3 linked regions of the Ovis aries genome follow. The protein of the gene in region 2 interacts with the protein of the main gene of each other region in a pairwise test. Links are inferred from orthologs where the notes say so. Each region holds a gene or a part of one and is shown on either strand. Other genes may lie near its edges.

The links.
Region 1: the proteins of PPFIA1 (region 2) and CCNH interact in binary tests that used the Homo sapiens proteins (3 or more experiments, as listed by UniProt). The link is inferred for Ovis aries from reciprocal best matches to the Homo sapiens genes PPFIA1 and CCNH.
Region 3: the proteins of PPFIA1 (region 2) and PTPRF interact in a two-hybrid assay, tested with the Homo sapiens proteins (2 studies listed by BioGRID). The link is inferred for Ovis aries from reciprocal best matches to the Homo sapiens genes PPFIA1 and PTPRF.

Annotation. Positions count from the first base shown.
Region 1 is NC_056058.1:84,668,255-84,671,897, forward strand, and holds part of CCNH (cyclin-H), read right to left. Parts: intron 2,288-3,643; coding exon 2,214-2,287; intron 1,261-2,213; coding exon 1,050-1,260; intron 1-1,049. UniProt on the Homo sapiens protein: Regulates CDK7, the catalytic subunit of the CDK-activating kinase (CAK) enzymatic complex. CAK activates the cyclin-associated kinases CDK1, CDK2, CDK4 and CDK6 by threonine phosphorylation.
Region 2 is NC_056074.1:43,817,821-43,821,939, reverse strand, and holds the start of PPFIA1 (liprin-alpha-1), read right to left. Parts: upstream 2,819-4,119; 5' UTR 2,715-2,818; intron 1,508-2,714; coding exon 1,244-1,507; intron 1,009-1,243; exon of another isoform or gene 1-1,008. UniProt on the Homo sapiens protein: May regulate the disassembly of focal adhesions. May localize receptor-like tyrosine phosphatases type 2A at specific sites on the plasma membrane, possibly regulating their interaction with the extracellular environment and their association with substrates.
Region 3 is NC_056054.1:18,193,684-18,197,757, forward strand, and holds the start of PTPRF (receptor-type tyrosine-protein phosphatase F), read left to right. Parts: upstream 1-1,133; 5' UTR 1,134-1,323; intron 1,324-4,074. UniProt on the Homo sapiens protein: Possible cell adhesion receptor. It possesses an intrinsic protein tyrosine phosphatase activity (PTPase) and dephosphorylates EPHA2 regulating its activity.

The sequences.
Region 1 (3,643 bases), on a different chromosome or scaffold from region 2:
CCTGGTGCAGACTGATGCATGAGCTTGCCAGCATGTTTTTAAAGCTGCAAACCTGATCATATCACTCCTCAGACCTGACCCCTTCACTGGCTTCCTGTCAACTCTATGCAAAATCTGTAACGTAACTTCCACAGTCTAGACTGCCTTCCACTCAGGCAGACATCCCCATCCCTCAGTTCTGTTTAGGTTCTTCAGTGTACCATGGGTTTAAAATCTGGGCCTTTGGCCAAAGAAGCCTCTGAGCAGGATGCTCTTCTACCACCCGGTCCCTGCTCTTGCTCTGGATTTCGCCTTGTTACACTTTCTCAGGACTGTCTCCTCTTCCTCTCAATCTGCCATCTCCTTCTAAAGCACCCTGTATTTCCCCTTCTGTTAACATTAAGCACACTGAATATATGACACTTTCTTGTGAGACTATAAGGCCTATAAAGTTGAGGCTGTTCCTGTCTAGTTCTTGGCTAATCCTTAAGCACCATGTTTGGCACAAAGAAAGCACCCAAATTTTGCCACTCAAGATGAATGGACCAATAACTCACACTACTCAAGTCCTTCTTCAGGACCAAAACAAAACAACTTTAGTTGCTTTTGTTAGTGTTCTGACAAAACATTTTATTTACTGTTACTTTTGATGCTTACATATTGAATTTAGTTCACAAGGTCCTAAAAATAGAAGTCACTCAGCAATCTTCTAGTTTAAAATTAAGCCTTTTGTATCCAAGACAGTATACTTGAGTTAGAAGAGTTAAGTCTTTAAAAGTGTTACTACAAAGACACAATGGTCTTCATTAGGGTCCCTGGGCTGGCATTTGCAAATCTACTAAATCAGAAGCTCTGGGACTAGTCTGACAATTTCAGTTAATAAGCCCTCCAGGTGGTTCTGAAGCACTAAAGCACATTGAAGTTTGAGAACTATTGCCCTAAGAATTCAGGCGAAACTCATATTTTAGTTAAGCCCATCAGGATCATTATAAATTATAGCAAAATTTTGATTCTTTTAACAGCAGCAAAGGAGTTCACTCTACCAATTTACTTTACATCAGCAAGATTACCTTTAAATCAATGAGAAAGCCCTCAAAGGGTCTGTAAGGATTGTGGACAATAAGGTGGAAATTAAGTTGCTGTATAAGAAGCAGTTCATATTCCAGAATCTGTTCGAGTGCTTTCTCTTGTCCAAGAGGGCTCTCCCGCAGATTTCCAACAAACTGTGGACTAGATACATTGAATTCATCTACTTTGCAAGCCAAAAATGCACAAGTGAGCCTAGAGGAAAAAATAAGGGGAGGAATATGTATAAAATAATGAAATATTTCTAAAAGTATGTTCTAAAACTGCCTAATATTCACAAATGACTATACTAGACATCTTTGGAAATTGGTTAAAAAAAAGTTTCCTGTTTAATCTTTTTATTCATAAGGTGACTAAAGCTGTAGGTTGAACTGTATAATAGTGTCACAGCATTCAATTATTAACTTAATGGCAGTTCAGCCTAAATATCTGGGAAAACAAAATAATAGGAATAAGAGAACTCAGCATCATGAAAAACAAATGGAAGAAGGAAAAAAAGGCACACACATAAGTACATACGGGCCTGGGAAGAAAGTTACGTCAGAGAAACACTGTGACAAGCCATCAGTGGAAGTCTCTACGGGCATTTAAATAGAGGGTTATTGCCTCAAGAACAAGCCTATTAAACTCTCATGGCTGCTACATGAGTTTCAGAGTGAGAAGGATGGGACGCACCAAGGGCCTGACCAGGACTGGTAGAGATGAGAATGAAAAAGAAGAAATAGACAGGGACAGTACGACTGACAGCAAGTTCTTTGCTACGTTTCATACTAACTTCATCTGTAACGATACGCACAGTGCTTAGCAGAGACCAGAAACAACAGATCTTTGTTCAAGTGGAATGAACAGGGAACTACAGGACTTGTAAATTTGTAGAGAAAGAGAAGTTGCCGTAAATGATTCTCAGAGCAACTGAGTGAAGAAAGGTTCCACTAACAGAAAGATATCAGGGTAGCCAATTTGAGAGAAACAGAATGTGAATTTGGACACGTGCCAGTACAGATGTCATCAGAATTTGAGGGAGCAATCTTAAGTTCAGAATAGAATACAAGTATAAATTACCCTTTATTAGGAAGTCATTTTCACACACGTACATGGTCACATAGTAAAAAAGTATTCTTAAGTGAAAATCAATAAATTATACTTACATTATTATCCGGGGGTGATATTCCATTACTGAGTTATTAAGATAAAAGCGCTTGAAATACATACAAGCTGTACCCTAAGATTAAAAATACACATATTATCAGAACCTATCACACATACAAGTTGTTCTGTATTAAAAAAAAAATTTTATGCAAATATTCCTTTAAAAAAGTCACTGGTAAAAAAATGCCAAAACTTATTTTTTTCTTAACTCAAAATAAATTGTGATCGGAAGATCCCCTGGAGGAGGGCATGGCGGGCTACAGTCCATGGAGTCACAAAGAGTTGGACATGACTGAGTGACTAAGTATACACATATATTTGTATAATTTATACAAATGATCAAAGCTTAATCAATCTTATAAAATACTGATAGAATAACACTGTTAGAGCAATGAGTCTTCTCTTTAAATCCACTCTAGATCTGTGATCTAACCATGATCACTGCTGCCAAACCAAACAGCAGAAGGAGCACCTACCATTTACTGACCGCATCCCATGTGCCACACTTTGTGCCAAGTTCAAAACTATTACCTTATTTTAATTCTTATAACAATTTGGTGAAGTGTTGCTATCTCTACAGAGAAAGAAAATAATATCAATGAGGTTAACTGACTTGCTCAAGGTCAGACATCTAACAAGGAACAGGGATGTTTTCAACCAAGGTCTGCCTGTACTTTTAACCACTATTTCATTTGGCTAGAACCAATGAAATAAATATCTATTTTAGGATGGAAAAAACATATTTCTTTTTAAGTACTTCTGAAGCTTAGTTTGGTCACTTTACATGAAACAAACATCAAAACTATCAGTTATAAAAAATAAGTTATATAAAGGCAAATCCACAAAGAAGTTTATTCAAGGATTCAGTTTCTTCATCTGAAAAGATCACTTTAACCTACTGCCTCATGTTATAGTTTTCTTATCAGAAAAGACTAAGACCAAATCTGGAGATGGAAAGGAAGCACATCTAAAATTTTACATAAATCTGATCTCAGATGGAAGTCTGATTAAAAAAAGAAAATACTATGAATACTTTTGGACTATATTTTCAATATACTTCATTTATCAATTTTAAAAATGGAGATTATTTACTAGGAGCTTATTCTTTTGTGAGTCAGAGATTATTCAATCAGTTTAACTTTAAAATGTATGATCTACTTTCACTTAAGACTTTCATATTTGATATTCACAACAAATCTGTGAGGTTATATGGAAAAAATAAAAGCATATAAATTAAGCTTTTAAGTTGCAGTTTATTTTCTATCAACAAGAATACACATATCCAGATGGGAAAACAAAATAATACTCCAGTAGAATAAGTGAAGTGGAGACACACAATCTACCTATAAGAATTCAGATTAAGGATGGTAGAGATCAATGATCCAAGAACTCAGAAAAAGAAGAGGCATAGATTAAGAAGATAAAAGAA
Region 2 (4,119 bases):
ATGCCCAAGTACTGAAAAGACTTACAAACACTACAACGAAAGCCCAGTAAAGCACAACCTGGGCAATCCTTCGAGGCCCGTGGTGGTGGCGGCGGCGGCTGTTCAAGTCTAAGTCGTGTCCAGCTCTTTGTGACCCCGTGGGCTGCAGCACACCAGTCCTTCACGATCTCCTAGAGACAGTGTTACTGGTGATAACACTGGACCCAAACAAACCTGGTAATTTACAAGACTCAAATGGGAAAAACACTTCCATGATTCTCATGTCTGACAGAGAAGGAACGTCATAGCACTGCCATAAAATTCCTGTTGCTAAAGAGGAAGTCCACATGTTTGGCTTATCAATCTTTCAGGAGACTTGACGAAAGCCAAGAAATGCATTAAGGCTAGTAATTATTCATTTACTAATTTACCACCACAGACCCATCACGAGAGAATGCACGCACGCTTATTCAGGTCTATCTGACGGCACCATAAAGGCGCCTATCATGAGTAAGCCAAACGGCGCCTCCGCAGCCATAAACACCCGAGGAAACTTCACGGCTCCCGCTACACTGCGCCACCCACCTCACAGTCTTCAGCTGACACCTCCCTGCACCTATCATCAGATCCTCACTCGGCGCCGCAAGAAAAGGCCTGGAGACACGGCTCTAAACGCAATACCCTTAGATGAAAAACCTTGTTGTGACTGTGAACTTTATAATCTTCAGCTGCTAAAGAGAAAGTGCCGAAGGAACCCATCTTCTATCCTCTGAAACAAACTTGACTTACAAAGCACCTGGCTGCTGAGAAAGGCAGACTGTAAATATATTCTTCCTGGGAGATCCATTCCATTTGTCCAGGACACTGCATTAGGAAACTGGAAATCCATGATGCAACCCACAGAGTCACACGATTAGGAGGGGAAAGGCTTACGGCAACAAAGCAGAAGGCATCGCAGAGACTCGTTACTTGGTGGCCCTTTTTTCCAAAACTCTGCAGCGCTTCTCCAAATCTAGGCGGCTCCTTCTGCTGACCCCCCAAAGAGATGAACAGGACCGATAAGGTGTCTTCACAGGACTCGACAGTACACGAGTTTGCTCTAGCTAAGACGTTTAATCCCCCAGGAACTCTATCTGTATGTGACTTACAAATAACAGAACCACCGCTGCGCAAGTGATGATGGCAAAATACACATCTAAAATAGCAGCATGCCCCCCCAAAAAAAGCATTTAGACAAAAACCTGCAGGGGAAAGTCATCCATACCTGTGGAAGCGCAGTATTGAGCTGCCTCTGCAAGGAATCTCTTTCGTGACCAACCTCATGCAGTTTCCCCTGGGTTAATGCCAGCGTTTCTTGGGTCTCTCTCAGCGTGTCGAGAAGACGGTCCCTCTCTTCCAGCATGGACACCATCAACTGTTCAAAATGTGAGTCCGCATCCGGCTGCGAAGGGGAGCTGGACCCTTGGCTCCCACTTCCTCCCGGGGGGCCTTCGGCTTCACTGATGGTCGGCATCACCTCGCACATCATCTTGGAAACAAAAGACCCGGACCACCGTCATGGGGCGCTTCTAAATAAAGGCTTCTACAAAGCTGCAACTTTCTAGCTATCTGGAGCTGATAAATGAAAGGCCTTACTATTTCCAGATCTGACTGCTAGGCTCTGTAGAGAGAAGTACGCTGGGAAAATACACACAGGCCTATCCGAAGTGCAAGGCACACCCAAGATGAAGACATGAATACTGACGATCATCAGTGAAGGGGTGGGTAAAGACCAAAAAGACTACCCCTCACATAAGGGACAACCCTTGTGGCATTTTGTTTGCAAAGCCGTACTTTCTGATTGTTGAGAAACAAGCGTGCTTCTGTAACCCCCCCTTTTTTTTTTTCCTCCTTTCTTATTTCCCGGTTGGGGGGGGTGGGGCGGGGAGCGGCGAGGGAGGTAGAAAGTCAAAACACGTGCCACCCAATCATGTTTCAGGAAAAAGCACAGAAGGAGCATACAGTCAGTAAAACTGACAAGTACAAAACCCATCAGGCATCTTACAGGAATGTGTACAGTCAGCTCCGGGGAAGGACCGACTAGCTCCCCGGATTCTTGGGCTGGATTTGGTGAGCGCTAAACGGGAACTAGGCTCGTTACGGACTGCGAGAGGTGCATTTGCAAAGACTCCGCTGGTTGGTCAGTCAACCTCACTTATGTAAGGTCACAGCCTCTCCCCCCACCACCCCACTCCCTCCCCCCCAAAATATTCCACAATGGAAATATAGCGGGTCGAGATGGATAAATAGGAATGGAGGAAAAGTGAAGGGTGAGACTACCAGAGGCTCCTCTGTCTCAAATGTAATGACGGGGCGAGGGGCGGTGCTCCGGGGTCGGCGGACCTCCGGGACGGAGGTGCCCAGCCGCGCACCGCGCACCGGACGAGAACGACGCCTCTACCCGGCTCGCACCCGCGCCCCGGTGCGGCAGCAGCGGGGACCCCAGGGCGCAGGGGACCGGTCTCCACGGAGCCCGGCCTGGCCCCGAGTCCTCGTCCCTGCGCCCAGCGCTGGGTCACCTGGCGCCGGGGTCAGGGAGGTGGGGGTGGGGGGGCGGCGCACTGCCCCGCGAGCCCGTCCGCCGGGGGTCCCCCCGGGCCGCGCCCCGCGCTCCCGGGGGCGCTGACACTAAGCAGCCGTGCGCCGCCCGGGGCCCCGCTCCGCACCGACCCTGCCTCGGTGCCCCGCTGCCTTACCTTGCTCGCCGGCGGGAGCGGGCGAGGACGTTCCGCGGGCGGCTGCTCGCTCCAGGCGAGCTCCGGGCCCGACGAAGGCAGCCCGCCGCCCGCCGCCCGCCCCGCGCCCCGCGCCCCGCGCCCCGCGGCCCCGGGCCCGCCGCCCCCAGTCACTGAGGCCGGCCCGCGGCCGGACACTGGCGGAGCGCAGGAGGAGCGGGCCCGGCGGCGCGTCGCCGGCGTCAACGTGCCCGACGTCGGGCGCGTCGGCGCAGCGTCAGCGCCGAGCGCCGCCGGCACGCCCCGCCCCGTCCCCCAGCCCCGGAGAGGCGCGCGGGGGCGGCGGAGTGCGCAAGTGCCACCACCTCCTCAGTGGCGGGGGCTGGCCTCTCGAGCTCAGATTAGCTGGGTCTGACCGGAGCCACGCCCCAAACCCCGCCCCAGACCCCGCCCCAAGCCCCATTCCGAGCCACGCCCCCAACCCCCAGGTGGGTGGGCCGATTTCGAGCCCCGCCCCGAGCCCCGCCCAAGTGGGTGCGCTGTTGCCGAGCCGAGGCTCTGGGCTCCCGGGTCCCGGGTCTGTGCCGCGTCCTGGGCAGGATCTTCCGCCTGGGGCTGTCTCCAGATCTCCGCTGACAGCCGCGGGGGTTCACCAACGGTCGTCATCGAGCGTCCACTGGAGTCAGGTTCTGACGGCGAAGGTCACCGCTGCATCCACACCTGATGGTAGAGCGCGCCCCGCTGCAAGTCACCGGCTCGCAGCCTGCGGACAGGCCTCCGGAGCCGCCCAGGAGCCCATCCTTGCACCACTCGGAAGGACGCGGTCTCAACGCAAGGCCCCTTACCGAGCTTCACCTGCAGACCCGGGGAGACAGAGGTGGCAGCGTGATGTGGACGCTCCTGGTCGCTGCGCCGAGAAGGCAGACTTTGGAGCCAGACCCTCCAACTTCAACTTCCAGCAGACGCTTCTCCCCGCAGTGTGGGCCTGAGCAACGGGGAATGGGGGAATGAATGATACAGACCCACCCCAGGGCTGTTCTAAGAAACGGAATTTGTAGGGAGCCACCGAGTCACCTGACTCGGGAAGTACTCAGCGAATGACGGGCATTTTTATCTTTCTCAAACATTGTTATCCTTTTCATATCCATATGTCATCCTTGCTCAAACGTTTAAAAATGCCTTCTATGCACCAAGTCCTGTGCTAGACTTTGCAGATACAGATATTAATTAGTGTACTTTAAATTAAAGCAGGTGCTTGCCGCTCAAGGTCTGTCTCCTGGATCACAAGCTGAAGTGTCTGGGCATTGTTGCCAAGCGATGCTGGCCACTGCTTGGCTAAGTCTAAGCCACCAGGGTACCCTGTTAAGAAAAGGCTGCATGGGGCGAGGCGGGGGGGGGGCGCGGAGGGGAGGGGGGAGCGGTGAGC
Region 3 (4,074 bases), on a different chromosome or scaffold from region 2:
GAGGCTTTGGTGCCAAGGTGTGGCTCTTGGTTTGGAGCTCACCAAGTTCCTATGAGTTAGAACCTCTAGTAAATCTGTTGGTAAGTTATTGGTTTAGCCAGAGATTTATAGGGTCAGCATTTAAGTTTGATATGAGGAGTCAGAAATTCAATACTGAGGTTTATATCAGGCTTGGAGGACACTATCAAGTGCTGAACTAAGGGCCAATTCAGGACCTGACTCAGGTCCACAGTTGGCATTGCTGATTTTGGGGTGCTGGCCAGCCTCAGGCTGGGGTTGATATAGGGTCAGAAGAGTAGAGAGTGAGTATGGGGCTGCAGTGGATTTGTGTGGAGCTTCTACAAGGCCAGTCTCATAAATCTTAGGTTCCAAGATTACCACTAGAGGTGAGTCAAGTTAGGGTCTTAAATGGGCCCTCAAATGGACAAGGTCTGAGGTCAGTATTTGTATTAGGGTCCTTTTCCAGGGACTCAATCCTAGTTCACAAAGTGTGTTGGTATTGACCTGGGTCTGGGACTGCAGTATTAGAGTTTTATGGAAAGGCTTGGGGTTCACAAAAAAGTGCTGGGTAGCTACCATAGCAAAGTAGCTATCGTATTTTAAGGTTCACACAGGGACTGGGGCTCAGCATTGGTACTGGGGTCCATTTAAGGACCAGGGTTGATGCTGGGGTCACGATCAAAGAAGAGGTGATAAAGGGATTTTAGCCTAAGAATTGGAATTTCAGTTTAATAAAGGGGTTCAGATTAAAATTACTACTCGAGCCAACTTCACGGCAGATTTGGGGGTTTGGACTTACTGTTGAGTTGGGGTGGGTCTGGGCTCAATAGCAGGTTCAGATCTCTACGGAGAGAAAATGGGGTCCTAGAGTAATATCAGGTTCACATTTGGATTGGAAGCCTCTAGTAGGATCCGGACTTCGTATGGAAGTTTGGGTCTGCCCATGCTTATTATGGGGGTTCCGGTTCTGTACTGGGGTCCGGGTCGGTTTACACGCGGGGTTGGGTTGCGGCCTCGGGCCTACGCGGCTCAGCAGCTCTACGAGCGAGAGTGCACGAGGGGAGGGGCGGCGCCGGGGACGCGCACGGCAGGGGCAGGGGCGCGGGCGTGGGCGCGGGCACGCGGCTGGAGCTGGCGCGGGAGCGGCGGAATCGGTGGCGGCGGCGGCAGAGGCGGCGGCTCCAGCTCCGGCTCCGGCTCCAGCTCGGGTGGCGGTGGCGGGAGTGGGATCCGGTGGCGGCGGCGGCGGCGGCAGAAGAGGAGCGGGAGCAGCGGCCCCAGAGGCTTGGGGGGACATGCGGACCGACGGCCCCTGGATAGGCGGTGAGTGACCCCCGGGCCCCCTTCCAGTTCCCTCCGCATCGGTCCCTTCTCCACTCCCCCGCCCTCTCCCCGCGTTCGCAGAGCGGAGCTGGGGGCGGTCCCGGGGGGCTGGGGGCGCCGCTTAGGCCGGGCCGCGCCCCCACCTGCCGCGCCCGCCGCCTCGGCTAAGCGCCCCCACCAAGCCCGGCGGCTCCTCCCCGCGTTACCCCGCGGCAGACGGACCCCCCCCCCCCATCGCCCTGCCGCCGGCTGGCTAGCTCCTTGCCGCCCCTCGGCGCCTTCCCCTTTCTCCGCCTCGCCCCCTCCCTCCCGCCGCACCTGAGCCGCAGCCCGCGCCGCCCCCCTCCCCCCCGCCCAGCGCAAAGTTTCCCTTTTGCGTTGGGGCTCCCCCTCCTGGGTCCCACCTCGTCTGCCCCCACCACCGGCGCGGACACGCTCCGGGGGCGGCCCTCAGCCTCCCACCGCCTCCCCAGCTCCGGGCGGGTCCAGGCCGCGCCCCCGCCCCCGCCGCACAGGCGCCCCCTCCCAGCCGGCGGGGGATCCGCAGCCGCCGCGCCCCCGTCTTGCTCGCGGCCCGGGCGCACGTGCCGTCCCGGGGTGCGCGGGGCGCGAGTTTGGAAACCCCCACCTCCCCAGCCCCCGCACCCAAGTCGCCGGCGCCGGCTGGGGAGGCGCTGGGCCGGGCTGTACCCGCCCCTCCCCGGGTGCAGTGACCCAAAGGCCCTGGGACGACCTGTCCCGTGAGGACGTGTCCACTCGGACCCGCTCCGGAAAGTTCACTCAGTCGCCGCCCGGCGTCCCGTCCCGTGTTGGTGTGCCCCGGTCCTCATCGCTGTGCCCACGATCCTGTCTCGGCTTATTTCTCCTTTTCCCTCCGTGTTTCCGTCTCTCTACGCCCTTCAAAGCCTCTGTATCTCTGTCTCCCCGTGTCGCGGCCTCCCACTTTCAACCCACTCCACCCCCCAAGCAATCCCGGGGTCTCTCTGCTGTCTGCGACTCCCTCCGGGTCTCCCCTGCTCTCTCGCTGGCTCTCTGTGCTCTTTCTCCCGGCTCTCTGTGCTCCTTGCCGGGTCTCTGTGTTCCTTCTCTTGGGTCTCTCTGTGCTCTTCCCGGCTTTCTGCTCTCTCCTCCCAGGTCTCTCTGCTCCCTCCCCCATCTCTGGGTCTCCCTTCCCGGGTCTCTGTCGGGTCTCTTGGTGTCTCTGTCTCCCACGGACTGGAATCTCTGCTGCCCCTTTGCAGAGACCCAGACCTCCTCCTCGTTCCTCTGGAATGCTGCCCCTCTGGTTCTTCCACCCTAGGGTGGGGGAGGGGCTAGTTTTTCTCCTCTTTTCAACACCCCCCACCCCCCAGTGCAGGGCCCCCAAGTTGGAACTGGTTGATGGGTGGGTGCCGGGTACCTGTCTGAGCTGTGAAATGGAAAGGAGGCTGCTGGCAGGAGTGGGGGGTAGGGTCCTCTGGATTCCCCTGGGGGCCCCGGACGGGGGTGGGGGGGGGCAGGCCTGGGAGTCTGGACTGCGGAAGTGTTGGTGATGAAGACTCCCCTTGGGCTCCCAGAGTGACCTGGTGTGGGATCTGAGCAGAGAATCCAGAGGAGTGCATTGGGGTGAGAGGCCTGGAAAAAGATCCAGGGCTGGTGCTTCCAGGGGGATCCTCAGTGGTGAAGGATCCACCGAAAAGGCAGGAGATCTGCTGAGGGATCCTTTGAGAGGCATATGGCATCCAGTGGGATCCAGAGCAAGGTTCTGTCAGAAAAATCTCAGGAAATTCTGTGTTTGGCTCCTTATTAACTCTCGCTTCAGGGAGCAAGAAAATCCCAGTTTTTCACTGATGGTATGAATGAGCCTAGGGCTTCAGGAAGGAGTAGGTGAGCCTCCCCAAGCACAGCCCCCCAACATCCGCAGCCCCAGCCCAGGCCACACACTCACACCCCCCTGTTTCTACACTCAGCTCACCCTCCCACCCCCACCTCCACTCCATATCCACTTGTCTCCCCAGTGCCCTCTCATTTGCACACTTGGGCCTGCGCAACAGCCAGAGCTCCAAAATCTGCTGTGTTTGCACGCCCATGTCCCAGCCTGTGTTCTTGCTTACACTCTCACTGCTCCCCTGTGCACAGCCTAGGAAGGGTGTGTGTATACGTGCAGCCTCATGCTTTCTTGTGCACACATTTTCTCATACATTTTTGCTTGCTCAGTTTCCCCTTGTCATTGGAGACATCTCTGTAGTTCTGTTTTCTCCTTGCTCTTCCTCTTCCCTCTTTTCTCCCTTTACAAAGAAAATAGTTTTCATATAATTTCTTCTTCTCTCCTTCCTTCTGCAGCTCCTGGCCTCCCCTCTGGTCAGCCTTGTGCACATAGTGAGCGTGTGTGTGCTGTCCCGGCTTCTAGGGGAGGAGGCGAGGTTTAGGCTAGTGAAGCACTTGGGGAGGGGATTTCGGGGAGAGGGGGAGCGTTGCAATAAGAGCAGCCTGGCTGCTTTCCTTGGGAATTATATTTATGTGCAGCAAAATGCCGGCCTTTGCTCTCTGTGCTCCCTCCAGTCTTGTTCTCGTCAGTCCTGACTGTGGAAGTCCAGTACACTTAGCAGGAGATAGGACCCAGACTGCTTCCTACAGAGGCTGTGACACACGCTACAGCCCCTCCACTTTCCAGTTTGAGACCTTGGGGATCCCGTTCTCCCTGAGTCTCAGTTTCACTCCCTATAAAATGGAAGAGGTCGTCCAACCATAGCTGGTTGCGAAGGCTGTCGT